Linked DNA regions of Caenorhabditis elegans. The gene in region 1 interacts genetically with each later gene. Each region holds a gene or a part of one and is shown on either strand. Other genes may lie near its edges. The genes, in order: plp-1 and mom-5.

Region 1 (8,218 bases):
AAACATAGTTCTGAAATCTTCTTTTTCAAGTTGAACCAATTTATTTCAGATGATTTTTGTGTAACTATTCGTCATCATTCTTTCTTGTGGTCATTTTGCAGTTAGTATGCAAATCGAAATGAAATGAAAGTGAAAATGTTTACTGGCTACCAGACAGAGACCGAGAGAAAAAATGTAAGAAAAGTACGGGAATGGGGAACCTGAATTTGACGAATTCTATCCACAAATAATATAATAGAATTCTACAAAATTTCAGAAGAAACTAGAATGGATGTATTTAGTCTTGTGAAATGGAAAATCGCAGAATATTAATACATATAGATTGTTTCTTCAAAATCGCTCTAGATAATATAAGCATGTAATACTCAAATAACCACTTTCCAATAAAAAAAAACGATGTAATATTCTCAAATCCAAAGCCTAACTATAAGAATAAAATTACAGTTGATTTTTACATCGAAAGATTTATAATGAATTTGCAAACAAAGGCCGAACTTAGACGGATGCACGGCTACAGAACGTTTTTCTTATCTTCACAATATATTTGCAAATAAATAGATAATTTTTCTCCACTTCACCTCACTCAGAAAGAAAAAAGATATTTCAACACTAAGTTTTCAAAATAATTTTATTTATAAATTCACATAAACCAAACGAATTTATATTTTAATAACTTGTAGAAAATTGATGCACCGAATATTACATTCCAACAGTTGTCATGCCAGATGCCCTTTTTGTTGTACCAACTGTTTTTGAACTTTTTGAAGCTTTTGTTGTCGTTTTCGCTGTGGTAGTAGTAGTTCTAGTTGTGCTGTAAATAAACAAAGTGTGAATTGAACTAAAACAATTAGCACATACGTTTTTGGAGGGATTTCCATCGTAGTTCCAACTGTTGTAACTCCGATTTGTTCATCTTTTTCTTCGTCTTCCCCTCGTTGCAGGAAATCCGTAATTGTTTTTCTTACTCGTTCATACTTCTTATCATCCACTGCATCAGCTTCAGTATAGATACAACCTCCAAGTTTCCCGACAAATGGGTACAAATCATAGAGTGTGAAATCGATACGATCCGAGTGTCCAACAACTTGTGATATTTCCATCAATTTTTCTCTGAAAACAATTTCAAATAACAACTCAAAATTTAAAATATTTACTAAATCTAAACATACTGTTTCCTGTCATCCTGGTAAATACAAGTTATGCAAAAGAATATGATGAACAAGCCGATAACGAAGCTGGCTAGCACAAATGGAAAAAGATTAAGGTACCAATTACCCCATTTTGGACCTGGAAAAAGAAGAGGATCAAGGTTAAACTTGATCGTAGTATGTGTCAAAGACACGCCAAACTTGTGCTCAAGCTTTGCTAACTTCTAAAACAAGTTAATATTTTTGGTCAAACTCGGTCTAGAACTGTCACAAAAAATGAATCACGCGTTTACACAATTGAATTCCATTAACAACTGAAACTTTGTAAGTTAACTTACCGTCACAATGAATTCCACCGTATTGTCTGAAACAGAGACATTCCACTCTTCCCCATTCAACCATACACTTTCCATAAGCACACGGATTATGCAAGTTGTATGCTGTTGTATCCGGTGGACTACGAAAAATGCAATCTTGAATTTGAACTCGATGTCTACTGATCATTGTGATATTTCCTGGCCGTTCGATGACACACTCAAATACTGTGTTGTTGAAATTTCGGGACACGTTTTTGATTTGTAGGAGGTTATTCATATAATCATAATTTGCTCTAAAATTATATTATTTAAAAAAACATAAAACTCAGCGCTGCATACTTGTCGTCTTGATCTAATGTCTCTTCACCTTTCGAATCTGGGTATCTGATCTTCCAATACATTTTTTGGCCCTAAATTTTCAATCTTAAATCAAAAATGTTTTAAAATGCTTACTTCTCCAGAATTTATATCTTCTAGTTTTGATTTGGAATCACATGATATGGAGGTTGGCCAACCAAGTGCCCAGTATTCTTGAGTATCTCTCACAATCAACGTATTAGGTTCCAGAGCTGAATTCTTATTGATTTTATGAGTGAAAATTATAAATTTAGAAATTGTGATATCGTACATAACTTCACAAGATTTTGGCATGCCTTCTTGAAGGCGCACGGATTTATTTAGATGGGTCACAGCGCGCAAAAATTACAAAAGAATACTATCATACACTTTTGCGCGCCGAGACCAATCTGAATCAATCCGTGCGCCTTTAAGAAGTCATGCCAAAATCTTGTGGAATTACAATACAGCAATTTCAGTTTTCTGAAACGTCATTCTAAACAGTCATTCAGATTATTCACGACAAAATGTACATTCCTGGTCCACGAAATGGCAATTTTACCTATTTTCTCCGGTGAATCAATCGAAAAGCAGTTGACAAGATTTGCGTAAATAAATAATTGCAAGTGAATTGTGAATTTCCTTGTTAGCTTCATTTCAATTGCACCGATAAATAGAGAAATAAATTAAATTGATCGGATTTTTGACGATTATGCATTTTGATGAAAAAAATATGTTACACGTTTCATGTTCCCACGTTTCAGAAGGTTATTTATTTATTAAACGTATATTTTGAATAATAGTGTTCAAATTTCTGAATTTTGCCGCGTATTTGTTTCCGTGTGAAATTGCGTCTCGGTGTTTGCACACTTTCGTAAGCAATCAAATTTTCTTGTGAGTTTTTAGCTTTTTTTCCTTTCTAAATCTTGTTTTTATCGTTTTATATAATGTATTTTCAATGAAAATTGAACTTAACATAATGAAAAATACTGTTGAACCAATTTATATTTATTCCTGCCATCATGTCTTCTTGTCAAGGTCACAAGATTTGATTCTTCAGTGACTTCTTCATCCTAATTTTTGATCTCTTTCCTGCTGTCACCGGGAATGATTTCTAATTATTTTGTCAATTCTATTTTAAAAAGAGCCATTTATAACTTCCGAAAGCAGTGAAAGTGATGCATATATTTCAGTGGGTAGCGACCCACACTCTCGGTGTCCCCTCGCTCTCGCTCAATATCGATTTTGCCTTGATTTATGCGAACCAGAAGCGCTCTTATTTCTTACCAGCTGTTGTGTTCGCAAACGTGTACGAGTGGCCTTGTCCAGTGGATAATTTTATCTTGAGAATGTTTCGTCAGATGATGCAAATATGTTTTAGAATGTTAAGTAACGTTTTTTATGGCTACACTTTATCTAATATGTAATTTTCTTTTTGTTCTCAATGGAATTATTATTATTTTAATTCAAATATTTTTTATTTGCAGACCAGTTGGTTCAAGGGGTGTCTTTTGTCACCATAGTCGTTTGTTCGAAAGGAAATTGTCTGGGTAAAGGATGTCGGACGGAAGTGTTGAAAGGGGAACCAAGCGTGCCGAGGATTCTCTGGCTACTCACCAGCTCACTGTTCAATACAAGCGATACTACATCGATGTCAATGAGAACACTCGTGGACGTTACATCAAGATTGCTGAGGTTGCTTCGAAACTAACTTCCCGTACTAATATTAGCATTTTTCAGTTGGGTACAAATTACAAGAGCCGTATTATTCTAAGCATCGTCGCTGCCAAGGCAATCGTGAGTGAGATTTCGAAGATGCTTGCCCTCATTGATGAACCATCAACTGGTGAACACGCTGTAAGTTGCAATTATTTAAAGAAGTGGCGTAACAATTTATACACGCTCTAGGCAAAAATGTTCTTTCTGATTTTTTTCAATTGAAAAGCTGATGAACTTTTTAGTGAAAACAAAAGTGGATTTCTAAATTGAATATACCTGCTTCAATGCCCATAATTTTATTGATATTTAATATAAAAATTAAAAAAAAATATATTAAAAACTTTTTTAATGCAATATTAAATTTCAGCCAAAGGAAAGCTCTCTCATCAAATCAGAGACTCTCAATGTCGACGGGAGAAAATTCTACGTCGATCTGAAGGAAAATGTTCGTGGTCGCTTTTTGCGCATTGCTCAGATGCCGATGAACCCACGTCAAACTCGCCAACAAATCGCCATTCCATCCGATGGAATCGCCGAAATTCATAAGGTGCTAACCGAATATTTGGCCAAGTTCGGAGAGGGACACGAACAGGAGAACACCAACACTCCAAAAATCACTGCTGAAAACAAATCGTTCCTTTTCCATTCCGGAAAGAACGATCGTGGAGAGTTTGTTCGCATCTCGGAAGTAATAATTTTGTGTCAAATAGAAGTTTATTCTAATTTTATATTCAGATCAAACTCAACAGCGGCTATCGTAACGCAATCACCGTTCCAATGTCCGCACTCGTCGATTTCCGCAAAGAGTTGGATAACATCATCGCCAACCAAGGAAAGTAGTGATCTACAAGTTTTCTCTGCAAAAAAAACAATCGTAATTGCATAACATCTATCGAACTCGAGAGTCTCCCAAAAAATCCCTCCAAATCTTTACTGCATTTGCATGTAAAGATTTTACCTATTTTTCTAAACTGCTGTGTTCCTGTATTTTCACTCTACCTGTTTCGTTTATTTATTTATTTAAGCATCAAGTTTATTGAACTCTAATAAATTCTCGGGAAATTCGTGTCTTAATTATTCTTGCCAGGGAAAGTTACGTTTCCTTATCGAACACCTGTTGCGAAACCAGAAAAGGGCGGGTCTGACTAAGTGAACAAATATTTCGTAATAACTTTCTTCCAACAGAAATTAAAACACGCAAAAAACGGCCAACTCACTAGCTGGAACGTGGAGCCATGGAGATGGATAAAATAACTCTGATTGTCGACATAGCTTCAAGAATATCGTATTCTGCATTTTCAAAAAGTCTTTTTCGTTCAAAATGGGCTTATTCTTCTCTAAAATTTCTTCCTTCATGTTTCCAAATATCGAATGTCGTACATTGATGCTCGGTTTAGATGGAGCCGGGAAAACGACTATTCTCTATAAGCTGAAGCTTAATGAGACAGTCAATACAATTCCAACCATTGGTTTGTTCACTTTTTAAATGTGGTCATACTTGAGTATTTGTTTGAAGGATTCAACGTGGAGACTGTTACCTTCCAAAAAATCACTCTCACTGTTTGGGATGTTGGAGGTCAGAAGAAAATTCGTGCTCTCTGGAAATACTACTTTCCAAATACCACAGTAATTATCAAGAGGAATTATACAACGAAAATTGTTTAATTTCAGACATTAGTGTTTGTGGTGGACAGTTCGGATATTGAGCGGATTCCCGAGGCAAAGGAGGAATTGTTCAGTTTGCTGGCCGAGCCAGAGCTTGCGGATTCTCATTTGCTTGTCTTTGCAAACAAGCAGGATATGCCGAATGCAAGATCACCAGCCGAGCTGACTCAGCTGCTTGATTTGGGTTCACTCAAGAATAGAGAGGTATATAGTTGTATTGTTTTGTAGACCTTATAATCTATAGGATATATATACCTAAAAGGAATGCCAAAATCTTGTGACATTATGATAATACAATTGGCTTTTCAGTGGTTCATCTGTGGTACAAACGCTCACTCTGGACAAGGTCTCTACGAAGGTCTGATGTGGGTCAAGAAGCAGATGAAGACATAAGGATTGCTAAATGATTTCATTTCTTTTCATAAGAAATTGAATAAAATATTGAAAAGTGTTATTCATAACTGAATTCTTGTGGAAGTTTGAATTAAGGAAAAGATAATTAGAGTTAAATAATTAATCACAGGTTGAAAAAACAATCATAAACAAGTTCGACGGTTGTAAAGACGACTAGAATTGTTACAGTTAAAATGTATTGAAAACATTCGAGAATTTTCAGCAACTGTATTGATCATTGCTTCGTAGTCACTTCCAGGTTCTGATCCTTCTCCGCTACAGAACATCTGAAAAATTGATGGTTTAAAATGAATTACTGAAAGATGGTACCGTAGAAAAAGTGAGCATTAGAGATCTCATACTATCAGTTGAATCGAATGCTGGAAGCGTCTTCTCGTGATGAATATGATGATCATTTTGCCATTTTGCATAAGAATACAATGCACTTTTAAATGCATCTGCTAATTCAATAGTTGCTAAAAGTTCAGGTTCAATGTTTGGTGATCTCTGTCGGTTTGCATCCAGGAATCCACGGAATACGTTGTCAAGACATTCCAGTTGAGACGTTTTATCTAAGCCTTGCCAAAAAACTTTTGAAATCATTTGAAGCGTGGTTATTCCAAGACTTGAATAGATACCATACATAGGAACTTCATCACCAGGTAAATAAATTGGAGGTTCAATGAATGCAAGTGGAATCACTATTGCTCCAACATTAGAATTATAAAGCATTGTTGGATCACTTATTGGGAAAGTCGTTGTGTCGTCACTAAAAGTACTTGTATTAGGAATTTTAAGTTCGCCTCGCGAAGTTTGATATTTAGTTTGTCAGAATGAACATGTTTTTTGAAATTAAGATCTCCTGCTAGCTACAGTACCTATACGATTTAACCATACACTTAAAATAAATCAGCACACACGTAATGAACTTCTTATGTATAGCTATATGGTACTGTTTGCCTGCCTGCCTATGTAACAGCCTACAACCTATTTTCTGAATTTATCATTTCCTATTTTAAACGGAGTTGTTCAAAATTTAATTGAAACAATTTTTACAGCTCGCAGATATAACACAAGACATGCCTATTTGTGCAGGACCATTTCCGATGTTCAATTTAATTTAATTGTATACAAATTCTCAAATGTCGTTTTATGATTCGAATTTTAATGTTAATATTAAAACACTTACTTGTCCAAATATGTTCCAATCTGCGACATAGTATAATCTCTTTCAGCTTTTCCAACTCTTATCATTGAATCAAAATAGTCTGTTTCATTAAGTGACACCTGTGAAACTGGCTTCCAAATGAGTTCCTCATTTTGTAAACGTCTCGGGAATCCAACATAAAAACCAAGACGGTTTATATTTGATAAATATTGAAGAGGAGTGCTACGATGGACGGAGAGAAAATCTATCTTAAGATTTTGAAGGAATTCTTGAATTTTTGGAAGATCAATTGTTTGTGATGCTTTGTCCACATACATTTTTCTTCCAATTTCGAAAGATGAAATTTGATCGACACATTCGCGCCATCTGGAGAGAAATTTTTTGTAATTAATTTCAAATTTAATACAAACAAAAAAATGAACGAACCCATACTGATCTCTTGGAGAATATGAATATTGTTTCAGATTCCAGACAGTCACAGTTAATAAATAATTTGCAACAGCTTGGCGACTAGTTCTGAATTTGAAATAAAATCTATCTATCAATAGTTTGTATTCCCTTACTGTGCCATGATATCCGAAAGTCTTGCAAAATAATCATAATCCTGAATAGATAACATGTCAGTTTCAGTCCATCTGTATGTGTTTGAAAGTTGTGCATCTAGGAATTCTCGAAGATAGAGTTGAGGTAATGCTTGAAACATTTCTCCAATTGTCATATACGTCGTATTAGGTGTGAGACTAGCTGATTGTCTAGCAGAAATATAAAGATCAACCATCAGTCGAGCTACCTCGTCCAGTTGACTTTGAACATCTCGAGGATCACGAAGTAAACTATCTCGAGCAAACGCGCTGAGCAAATTCTGAAAAAAAAATTCTGCAAAGTTAAACATTTTGAAAAGATAATGACAGTCTGATTCACTAAAAATGAGCTAAATTTGAAGTTGTTTCTATTCCAGTCCGTCCGTCACTTCTCAATCACCTTCCACCGAGTGGATTATTTTTTCTAGATGTTGAAAATATCTTTTCGGCATGGATGAACTTTATTTTTGAAAAATACCTGTCTCAATGACAATTGCAGAAGAGGTTCAAACTCTGTAGGACTTGGCCTTGCAAGATCAATCAGATCTCTTTCGATTAGTCCAACTATTGGTGTCAAATCGGGTGGTTTTATCTTAAATCTCATTTCGTTCAAATATCAAGTTTTGAAATTTTCATACCTGTAAAATAATCTTGCTTCTATCTTGTGGATGTACATCTCTATCATATACAATTAAATTATAGCGTCCTGCATACCAATCCAACATTCCCGCATGTCGTTCCCAACTGAAACCGCCTAATTCATCATTAAATATATCTTACTTTGGTATGAAGGTGGAGAATCATTTGATTGTTTGTTCAATAATTAGTCCCTCTTTTCCCCCTCGTCCTTGGCCCGCAAGATTAGCGGCTCTTCGCCACTGACACGTGTGT
Region 2 (11,307 bases), on another chromosome or scaffold:
CAACTAACGTCTTTTTCTACATCTTCTACGTCTACAAACTCTTCTTATTCAAATGACATCGTGATAACAAATCATGGTAGAAGGAGGAGTTACCATAGTTAAATATCTTCTATTCCTGGCTAATTTAGTATTATGGGTACGGTAGATTACAATATTAAATTGCTACAAAAAAATAAATTTCCAGGTGGGAGGACTGTCTCTGATTATTGTTGGATCCATTTTACAGTTGAAATTTGATAATGTATTAGATATATTAGGCGATGAAAGGTAAGAAATCTGAAAGTTGGGGTCATGGCGCGAGTGAAACTTTTTAGCTACCGTACCTACAAGTACTGTATAGATTTTTGTATGTGCCTTTAATTTTGTGTTTTGGAGAATGGTAAAATTATTTAACCAGGGACTAGATGAAAAGTTTCGCTCGTGCCAGGACCCAAAATCACCAAAATTAAACTCGCACTTTTCAAATAATTGTTCTATCTAATGTTCTGAAATAAAAAATAAAAAAGGAACTTTTTTCAATTCGAAAAATTGTCAAGGTATTTCGTGGCGAGACCGCCTTTATGAAGAGTTAACTTTTCGGTATCATAACTTCGCCATTTTGGTACACGGATTTTATTTACAATTAGATGTGTCTCGACAGATGTTCTTTTGCTGCCAAATATGAATCAAAATCATAATATTGATAGTCTTACTATTAGCAAAACTACAGAAGAAGAACTGATTGTGAGAAAATTGTTCATAATTTTCCAAAGTAGGAAAAACGGGCACCTAAATTCCTAAAAGTGTTATCATAGACATTTCCTCGCTGCGAGACCCACTCATATAAATCCGTGAGCCTTTGAATGCGTGCTTCAGAAAACTATGAAATAACGATAATTATTCCAGAAAAATTACATCTTGGGCTACCTAAAAGTAGAAAAGAACGCCTTTGCAAATTTCCAGGTTAGCCACACCGATTCTCTTACTCGTGATCGGATCTTTGTGTACTCTTCTCGGATTTCTAGGATGTTGTGGAGCAATTCGTGAGAATTATTGTCTAACCGTCTCTTTTGCAGTTCTTCTTGCACTTCTTATCGTGAGTTCTGGACGAATTATTTCATTTTGAACGGAATAAATCATTACAGACGTGTGAAATAGCAGCAGTCATTATCGGATATGCATTGCATGATAGTTTCAGACTTGGAATTGGTAATCAGCTTCAGGTATATTTTAAAGGCTTACAGCGCCCGACAAATAATTTTATCGAAAATAATGCAAAAAGCTTATTATTGTAATTTGATAAAAATAACAACATAATCAAAACTTTAAAAAAATCTCTGAAAACTGAAGTTATCAATTAAACTAATTTAATTTTTAAGAAGCTCTGAACCAAGTTTTCCTTTTTTTAAACAAAATAAAATTTCCAGAAAAATAATATTTTTTCAGACGGGTATGGTACGATATCACGAGAGTCGAGGAGTTGAGAGTGCATGGGATAAGACACATCAGGTTAGTGAAACGTCATCACGTGGTGTCAGAGTGTCCTATTTCAGTTTGATCTACGTTGATCTACAAAAAATGCGGGAGAAGAGACGCAGAGTTCTCAGCTGATTTTGCATGGTTAAGAACGTGCTGACGTCACAATTTTTTGGGCGAAAAATTCCCGCATTTTTTGTAGGTCAAACCGTAATGGGACATCCTGACACCACGTGCGTCATGTGAATAAGCCACGTGGATTACTGATGAGATTAGTTAAATGAGTGTGACCTTCGCACTTTTTTGTTTGAAAATGCCAATTGTATCTACATAATCCCCCGTAGATTTATGATCTGAAAATAGATTATTTTAGGTGCCAAAAATCATCCTTCGAGCTTTTTACGGGATAAATGTGCTTTAGTTTTGGAATTTGGGTAGCGTCAGATCATTTAAATGTGTCACTACAAAAAAAAATCGAATCTGAAAATTTTAGAATTGTGGTTTAGGAATGTTGTTTTGACATGTTTTCTGGAAAACGTTTGAATTTTTTAATGAGAAATTTTCAGTCAAAAATTTTTTTCGGGAAGAATACGTTATTTGCTTTAAATTTAATTAAAATGTTAAAAATAGTCTATTCAGAATCTCTCAAAATTTCAAAAAAATTAAATAAACTTTTTTCAATTCAGAAAAAAATTTTAAAAAAATTCATCACATTTTAGAGCTGTTTTTTTCAAAATTCTCGTATTAGTAATTAATTTAAAAATGGGTAATTTCGAAAAAAAATACTTTTTTTAAAAATTTTCTGACTAAAATATTACTGAAACACAAAATTTTGAGAACCAACATATTTGACGCGCAAAATATCTCAGAGCGAAAACTACAGTATTTCTTTGAATGACTACTGTATCACTGGTGTCGATTTACTGGCTCAATTTAAATAAATTATCTTAAAATCGAGCCCGTAAATCGACACAAGCGCTACAGTAGCTATTTAAAGAATTACTGTAGTTTTCGCTACGAGATATTTGCGCGTCAAGTTCTCAGGTTCCCGTAATATTCAATTTTGATTCGAAAACTTATTTACTTTTTACCTGTATTTTTCATGAAGTTTTTCTTTAATTTAGCAAAACTTCCAAAAAAAAAATTAAAGTAGAACTACAGCATTTAAAATTCAAATTAATTTCAATTTTAGTTGTTTGAATGTTGTGGAGTAACAAATTCATCCGATTGGCTCACATTCACAACAATTCCTGATTCATGTTGCATTGAAGAAATCGAGGGATGTGCTCGAGAGAATGCTCCACTCTTTGAGCCCGGATGCATTCACAGTGTCGAACGTTAGTCTTTTTTTTCCAAGAAGATCAAAGTGTGCTCTGTTGCACTTTCTCAATAGAGCATGATTGGGCTTATCGGAAATTTGATTGTTTTTTTAATTGCAGAATGGGTGCTCAAGAATGGAGCAATGGTCGGCGGAATTTGTGCAGTTTTGGCAGCAATTCAATTGGTCGGAGTCTGTTTCGCTTGTTGTCTTTCAAAATCAATTCTCAAGGATTTCCATGACTTTTATTATTAGTTCATAACCATCCGTTTTTCTTTGCAATCCTTATTTTAGGTTCTTTCAATCGCCGTGTCACAAATTAAACAATAATAATAATGTATAATTTATATATGAATATACGATGAAAAAGAAATTGAGGATGAAGAAAAATAAGCAACCGCATAAATAATGAGTAATAAATTCATAACTCTAAATTCGAGACAAAGACTGGGATGAAAGTGGTTTTACCCTGATTGGAGTGCTCAAAGTGTGAAAAAAAGTGTGTGAACCTTGTGCTGGAGCTGGTGACAACAGAACTTAAGAACATGAATAAACGAGATACATGAAAAATGGCAGCGAGAGAACTGATCTACAGTAACCTGAATTGAAGGGGGTTCTTTTTTGACTTTTCTCAAGCTTCTTTCTGCCCTTTTTGTCAGATTTCAATGTAATTCCACTCAAAAATATCATTTTTCACCATCTTTTCCACTCGTTGTCTCTCTTTTGCTATGTAAGAGCGCATCTTTGGGAGCCGGTTCTTAGAAATGTGCTCGTCGCAACTCAAATCAGGAAGCATTGAGAGACAACGAGTAGACGAGGAGAGTGTAGACACAGAGATGGATCATGCTCTGGGGAATGATTCTGTGAGAGGAAGGGGACCGATGGGCGCCGTCCGATGAGCAAGAGAGAGCATAAGAATAAGTCAGAAAAGTTACAAAGAATGAAGAAAAAGAAACATTTGAGTTGGTTGGGAAAAAAGTGAGAAAAGGAATGAGAATACATATAAATAGGATAAAATGACAAGAAGAGACTATCACCTCATATTAACCTGATCAACATGAGCAGGTACAGTAGGTGACCTCGAAGAGAGTGCCAGGTAAGCCTTGTGATAACTTGAAAGAGTTTTTGAAGAGACAACCCAAATGGCACAGGTTATACCAACAACCAATTGAGACACATATCTGAAAATAAGAACATTTAGGGGTTTCGAATCAAGATAAATAATTCATATTAACTAGACGCGAAATTATGCAGTCTCGGCACGATCCAATTTTGTCGAATATGCGCCTTTAAAGAGTACTGTAACTTCGAAGTCGCGTTGCTGCGGAATTTACATCGATTTTTCATGAATAGTTTTTCTTATGTTAGGCTTTTTGTGTTTGAATTGCTTAATATTTAAATAAGAATATTTTTTATCAAGAAGCGATGAAAATTCTGCAGCAACAAGAGTTTGAAACTACAGTATTCTTTAAAGGCGTATACATTTTTGCATTTAACAAACATTCGTCTTGTCGAAACCGGATGTCGCATTTTTGGCGCAAAAATCAGAAAATCAAATTTAGATTATACAGATTGAAATTTAACTGATTCACAGTTTCAAACTAACTTTAAAAGAAAAACAATAATCTCCGGAGCTGCAACTTTCGGATCCATCGGACAATCATCAACTGGATACGTGAAACCGAATAATTCTCGATCTTGAAGTCGAACACATCGATGATGAAGCCATCCTTCAAGCCAGGCAGGCATATTTACTGCCTGATACCACATAATTGCAGCATTCATTGCAGTTGGTAGAGAGTACATTATGGCGAAGGCACCGATTCTGAAAATATAATATTTGTATGATAATATGAAACGAATATCAGAAAAGCGATTCTTAAGTTTTTCTTATTTTGTTCGGTTCTTAGGAAATCCAATTTTTTCGTTTTTTTTTTCTGAAATTTTGGAATTTTAAATAAAAAATGATTTCCAGGGAATTCTCGGGTTTTAGAATAATTTATCAACTTTCCAAACTGAAATCAATATATCTACATCAGTAAACCTAGTTTGCTCGTCTTTTTCTGTACATGTTTTTCCAATTTTTCGTTTTCCAAAAATCGAAAGTATTTCTTTTCTGATTAAAAAAGCTCAGGTACTTTTGAAGATTTTCAAAAATTTGAAATATCGAACCTCAACATTAATTTCTCCAATTTACTGATATTCCTCTCAACATCGGCGTGTTGAAGTTTAATATAACTTCGAATACGGATCATTGACCAAATTCCACAAACGAGTAAAACTGCTCCGAGTGCTGCAAATAGAACATTTCTGAGAAGAAAACGAAGATAAATAACGATGGAACACACAACGAAACGAATTCAATTTCGGTCTTCCCCCACCATAATATTCACAAAAAAACTAACCCAACGATACAACGATCGGAGTGAAAAAGAAATAGACGAGAGCAGAGGGATTCAAATTTCCAACTGAACAGATTCCAGTAAATACATCTCCATCGACAGAATTTGTCACTAGTACAGTAACCGAGAGAACTGCTGGAACTCCCCAGCACATTGCGTGGAAGTATGGTGACAGAGCAGCAATTGATTCAGCTCCCCATTTCAGATTTGCCGCCAGGAACCAGGCTAGACACAGTACAAGCCACCTGAAAGAATACTTAGTATATAAAATATCATTTTAAAAAGGCTGATAGCTGTTTAAATCAAGATTAAAAATTTGGGTGTCGATTTTCGATTTTTCAATGAAAACAAAAATTTTCGATTTTTGTTTTTTTTTTGTTTGAAGAAAAAATACATTTTTTTCATGAACAAAATTTGATAAAAATTGAATTTTTTTTTTGATTTTCCGATTTTCCGGAAACGGGGTTTTTTTCATTTAAAATTTGGTTTAAAAAAAATATTTTTTAGATTTTTGTTACTGAAAATTGTCGAAAATCATAAATGTAATTTTTTTCTGAAAAATTACACTCGAAATTATAAAAATTAAAATTTTTATCAAAATATTCAAAAAGTTCTTTAAAAAAAAAATGTTTCAGTTGTCGTTTTTTTGTTGAAAAATGTGTTTGAACAAAAGAAAAACATGCCGATTTTTTTTCGAATGCACATTTTCAAAACCAGTTTTCTATTTGTGGTACAAAAAACGGTACTTTTTTCGTTAAAATACAAAAATTAACGAAAAAACTCACCACGCACAACTTGACATGAAGAAAAAGTAATGAACAACAGCAAGAGCACTACATCCAACATTTTCTCCTCCTTGCGTAACAAGTGTTGTTGGAGTAGATCCATACGTTCCACAAGCGAATCCATCTTCACCGACTACGCCTGTAGAAATACATTTTTAGTTTCTAAAAAATCTGATTTAAAAAAAACAGAAAATTCAACTCACCTATCATATAAACCGTAGAAATTGCTAGATAACAGAACGCGAGATACAAAATCGGTCGAACTGGATACGCGAATCGTGATAAATCAACAAGAAATGTGACAAGAGTGAATAAAGAGCACACGAAACATGCCACAGACCATGCTGCTGTCCAGATTCGAAGAATTCGTCGAACACGTCCATCAAACATCATTGGTACTTGATTGTCAGCTTCACATGTTAATGAACATTCAGGAAGGCGTCCACTGAGAAGAGGCAATGAAAAATGAGATCCGCTTGTTGTATGCATATGATGAGGGCATTTTTTTGGAGAAAGGACAACTTCGTTGGCAATTGTTGAAACACCGAATGTGACGTCATTACTACTTCTGTAACTTGAAATATTTTATATTTCGATCTACGGAAACTTGTTTTATTGTTCGATAAAACAAAGAATTTAGAAATCTCGATGTACATTTTTTTCGGAAAATTTCTAAATTCAAAAACTTTGATAAAAAACTATTTGACGCTTTGGAGTAGGAGTTTTTATGGGGCTCAAAAATTCGGAATAATACTTAAATTCAGCCAAACTTGTCAGTATCACAGCGGCCGTAAATTTAATTTTCAGAGAGCTTTTTTTTTTTGAAAACTCTTACGAGGTTCGGTCTTTGCAGGCCATTCTGAATTTATTATTATTTTTCTTTAAATGCAAAACCGATGATTTTAACTGAATTTACAATTTAATTTCTCGCTGTATTTAAAAAAAGGATTCTAGAACGGTTCCCGTAAATTTAAACTTTAATTCATGTTTTGGGTACTTTTGAAATTTTTGTTGTAAATATATATCAATTATAAATTCTTATTCATAAAATTATGCAGAAAACCCACTTTTTAGAGTTGCTCGACTCGCTGGAATTCTTGCCAACACACAAATCAGTTACTGGGAATTTGTTACAATCCAATTGATCTGGCCATTGAAATCCAAACTTTTTCATTAATGACTCGCATCCATTTTTTGCAGATAAACACAATTCTCGACATGGTTGAATTGGTTTTTCGAGTACTGTACAGACAGGTGCATAGACAGTACAAAGAAAGAGACGAATATCTTCTGAGCATTTAACTTTAATTAATGGATTGAATTGCGCAATTGCTGGACCAGCTTCAGATTGTGTTGTATGTCCGAGAAGATTTGGAAATACTGTTTGATTGTAATCCAGATTTTTGCACATTGGAATTGTAATATGTTCACATTTTCGAGTTGTTGAGAATCCATTCATCGATGAAATTGAAGTTGATGAGAGTCGTTGATCAGCTGATAAGCATCCGAATAAAAATAATATCAGAATATGTCGATGCATTGTAATTGATAGTTTTGAAGAGATTTCAGATTGACAAGTGTTAGTTCATAGCAGGATTCGTCTGAAAATATAAAAAATTATTAAAGAAATAGTTTTTTTGGTTATATGTATAGAAGAAGTTCAACATTATTTAGTTAATAGTTTGTGAAATGGAGAGAACAAAATTCTAGAAAAATGATTTTTGGCAAAATTTGGAAAAAAAACCGAACTTAAGTAAATAGCTAAAATCTTTTTCAGAAAAAATCGAAAAAAAATGTTTAGAAAATTAACAAAAAGTGAAATTTTTAATGAGTTGTTGATGTGGATAAACATTTTCAAAAAATTCTTCTAAACGGAGGAAAATGGCCAACAATTTTAGATATTTTACGAAAAATCTTTTTTTTTCTCGAAATATCAGAAAACCAACACAAATACTTTCCGGCAGTTGGCAAAGATGACACATTAAAAATTTTGGCTAAATTTAGGGATTTCTCTTCGAAACATTTTCTATAAACATTTTTTGGAAGGTTTTATTGGAATTCAAAATAGAAGACTCGGTCCATAAATTGACCTTCAATTGATGAGAAAACATTGAATTTTCAAAAAAAGTGAAATGGTGTAATGTTGACATTGGTTCCAAGTGCTAAATCGAATCAATGAATCGTGAAATTATAGTGAGAAACGTGGCAAAGAAAGACAAAGAATAGTAGATTTCGGTATCTAAGTGAATCTAATCTTTAGATTACTGTACAACATGCCTCTAATCTCTTTTTTGTAATACTCTCTCGTTACGCAACTTCCGAGAGAACGGAGCACACACACACAGTAAAGAATAATTACGGCTCGGAATTCGAGAGTAATTAATGATGATGATGAGCACTGACCTAATGAAAAGATCGAAAAAGAGTGAAGAGACACAGGCCACCTGCTGCTCGAGTGTCAAATGGGCAATGAACATGCAAACGGATGAGGGAGGAAGGATTCAAGAATTTTCAAACAGTGATTCATTTCGAAAATATTCTTGTTATTGTTTGGAGAGAATTGAGGAAAATATAGATGAGAATCGAATTGAGAAAAACGGGGACGATCGATCTGTAGAAGAGATAAGAGCAATGACCTAACTGGTAGAATTTTTTGGCATTTCGGAAATTAGTTTTTAGTTTTTAAATATTTAAGTTGAAGAAAGCAAAGAAAACATTTAAAACAAATTGTCTGAAATCAACGATATTCTTAAGCAAAAGGACGCAAAATATTGCACCAAAAATACGGTACCAGGTCTCGACACGATAAAGTTTTGTTTGCGCCTTCAAGGAGTACTGTAACTCGCATTGCTGCGGATTGTTTTGATTTTATATAGGTAAATTCATGGATTTTCATTGTTTTAATCAAGTTATTTAATAAATCAATATTTTCTATCGGAAAACTATAAAAAATCGATGGAAATTCCGCAGCAAAGTTTAAAGTTACAGTACTCTGTCAAGGCGCACAGCTTTCTACATTTATCAAAAATTTGGCGCGTCGAGAGGTACCGTATTTTTTGCTAAAAATCGCAGAATCGAGCCTGAAAATTATATAAATAATTTAATTGTTTTCGAAATTCAAAAAAAGATGCCAGAAATTTAATATCGACGAACTCGAGGAGCACATAAACATATTATTTGAACTTTTGAATAAACTTTTCCAACATCCGAACTGGGAGGCCGAGTTTCGCAATGTGAAGAGCCAACATACACGTCTCGTGCCGGAGATGGGTGTCAAATTCAATTCCCGAATCAAATCAAATGAACAAATAGGCCCGTCGTTTCGATGAAAAAGAACTGACGAGAGCAACACAACTGGGAGCTTGTGACCAGAAGAAAATGGAGCAAACGAGTGATTTGTGATTGATAACGGAAATGAAAAATGGACGCGGAATTGGAAATAGTGGAAAAGAAGAAGAGGTTCAGACAAGATGGTGATAAGAAGGGGGAATGCGAAAATGTTCGCGATGGGAGCAATTTGGATGATTTCTCGTTTCAATATCAGGTAGTTTTTGATGGTTGTAAAAAAATGAAGTAAACGTAGCCAAGAAGAGATGTTCGTTGTTCCAGCTGATCCTTTAAAAACCATCGACATGAATAGCCACCAATAGATCATTGAAGGGCTCTTAAATGTGTCGCATTATGGCCAAATTGATCATAAAAAGAGAAATAGACATTGCGATGCAACAAACGTGATGATTTGATGGCGATGAACCCAGATGGTTCCCACCTGCTTATTGACCGAAAAAAAAACTAAAGAAAATGGTGAAAATGAGGATGGGCGGTCAGATGGAAAATTTTTGGTTAAATAGAAAAGATGAGCCTTTTTTTTCAAAGAAAAATCAGAACTTGTGTTCAATTCTCATTTTGATAGGCGTTATATAGCAAATCAGAATATGACAGAATGAACGAGAAAAGTTATAAAACTCTCTAGATCCTAGACCAATTGGAGGATATATTTATCAATAGATCAATCAAGTTCCACCAATCACTAAAAAAACGAACATCCCATGAAGAAGACTCATTGAGTGACATAAAACACATAAAACACCCGCGAATAGCAATAACGTATCTGTGTCTATTTCTTCAAGAGTTTTCACTCGGAGTCTCAGTGGGTGAGGCGGCGCCATAAATCAAGGTGAATGGGGTGTTTGCAACACGCACGAAAAGAAAAAGAAGAGGGAAAATAGGGGGCGGGATCGAACAACGAAGAAGAAGAAGAACAAAAAGTAATCAATGAGGGAGCGAACTGACGGCAAGGAAGAGAGCGAGGTGTTAGATGGATCGGTTTTGTGTTGTTTCGAAGAGGACTGGCCGAATGATGGAGTGCTCCGATGTCTCTTGAGCCCTTCTCAATGTGTGGGGGCCTAATTCGGAGACGATAGATGGATGGAGAAGAGAAGACGGAAAAGACTCTTCTTTCTATTTATTCATGAACAATTGCGAATTAGCACTTTTGGAGAGGGAGTGATGGAAGACGTGATGGCTCTTGTTTCATTGTATGTTCTGCCGAATTGCATTTCAATTGGGTATACAATCATCCATTCTCATTTTCTTATCGGTCCATTACATTTTTCCATTAATCATGTGCAACGGAGAGATTTTAATTCTATCAGACAAAAATAATTAAAGTTCTTTATGGAACGGGAACGATATTCGGGCCAAAATCCCAGTGTCGGAAAACTACCACAACATATCGTTTTCAAAGATAATTCTTTTGCAGATCCTAACTAACATCAAAATTTCGCTCAAACTTCCTTCTGAGACATTCTCCCCGTGACAAGTGCCAAGACTCCTTAACATTTCGTGTGCTTTAGCTCCACAATGGAGTGTCATGTCGAAAACTATCTCTTGACATGTCCCACAGGGACATCATCCTCAGAATTTAAGAACAATCGAAGAAACGAGAAAAGGAAAGAAAACGTGGAAAAGCAAAAAACATGAGTTGACCTTGAAAAGAAAAAATCGAGAGTCTCGAAAATTAAATGTTTTCGCTCTCCCGCCTGTACGCAAGTTGTCGTCAGATTAGGTGCTTGCGGATTTACGACAGATTTTTTAACTGAAAGATTTCAATGAATTTAATGCTTTAAGCTTTTATTTTCAATATATTTTTAAATCTAATAGAAAATAAATAAATAAATATACTGAAGAACAATTTATTTACTTTCAGATGACAAAATCGAAACCGCCCCGAATAAGCCTGCCATTTGCCGCAATATCCAGGAAAAGTGAATGAATATTTGCTGGAGTTAAAAATTCATTTAACCAATTTTCTCAAGTTTAGGCGATTTTCTACTTGGTGCTTCGT

The links.
Region 2: of plp-1 (region 1) and mom-5, changing one enhances a phenotype caused by changing the other (phenotypic enhancement), as found in Caenorhabditis elegans (one study listed by BioGRID).

The regions. Positions count from the first base shown.
Region 1 is NC_003282.8:7,630,072-7,638,289, forward strand, and holds plp-1 (Transcriptional activator plp-1), read left to right. Parts: upstream 1-3,288; 5' UTR 3,289-3,358; coding exon 3,359-3,496; intron 3,497-3,541; coding exon 3,542-3,658; intron 3,659-3,887; coding exon 3,888-4,208; intron 4,209-4,255; coding exon 4,256-4,360; 3' UTR 4,361-4,582; downstream 4,583-8,218. Other genes in the region: F45E4.6 (EGF-like domain-containing protein), read right to left, coding at 700-811, 859-1,110, 1,170-1,287, 1,487-1,758, 1,805-1,875, 1,919-2,034, 2,364-2,457; warf-1 (ADP-ribosylation factor 1-like 1), read left to right, coding at 4,842-4,989, 5,037-5,146, 5,192-5,389, 5,495-5,578; nep-16 (Peptidase M13 N-terminal domain-containing protein), read right to left, coding at 5,722-5,865, 5,909-6,347, 6,768-7,112, 7,173-7,262, 7,310-7,608, 7,806-7,919, 7,966-8,071. UniProt on the Caenorhabditis elegans protein: Probable transcription activator. Binds telomeric DNA containing repeats of the sequence, 5'-TTAGGC-3'. Binds to end-1 promoter, activating end-1 expression, which is required for endoderm specification during embryonic development.
Region 2 is NC_003279.8:9,961,834-9,973,140, reverse strand, and holds mom-5 (Protein mom-5), read right to left. Parts: upstream 7,562-11,307; 5' UTR 7,501-7,561; coding exon 7,028-7,500; intron 6,535-7,027; coding exon 6,164-6,534; intron 6,100-6,163; coding exon 5,961-6,099; intron 5,421-5,960; coding exon 5,179-5,420; intron 5,067-5,178; coding exon 4,946-5,066; intron 4,599-4,945; coding exon 4,380-4,598; intron 3,955-4,379; coding exon 3,807-3,954; 3' UTR 3,104-3,806; downstream 1-3,103. Other genes in the region: tsp-7 (Tetraspanin), read left to right, coding at 74-136, 185-267, 943-1,075, 1,125-1,202, 1,426-1,488, 2,648-2,792, 2,895-3,028; algn-10 (Dol-P-Glc:Glc(2)Man(9)GlcNAc(2)-PP-Dol alpha-1,2-glucosyltransferase), read left to right, coding at 11,170-11,227, 11,284-11,307. UniProt on the Caenorhabditis elegans protein: Receptor for Wnt proteins.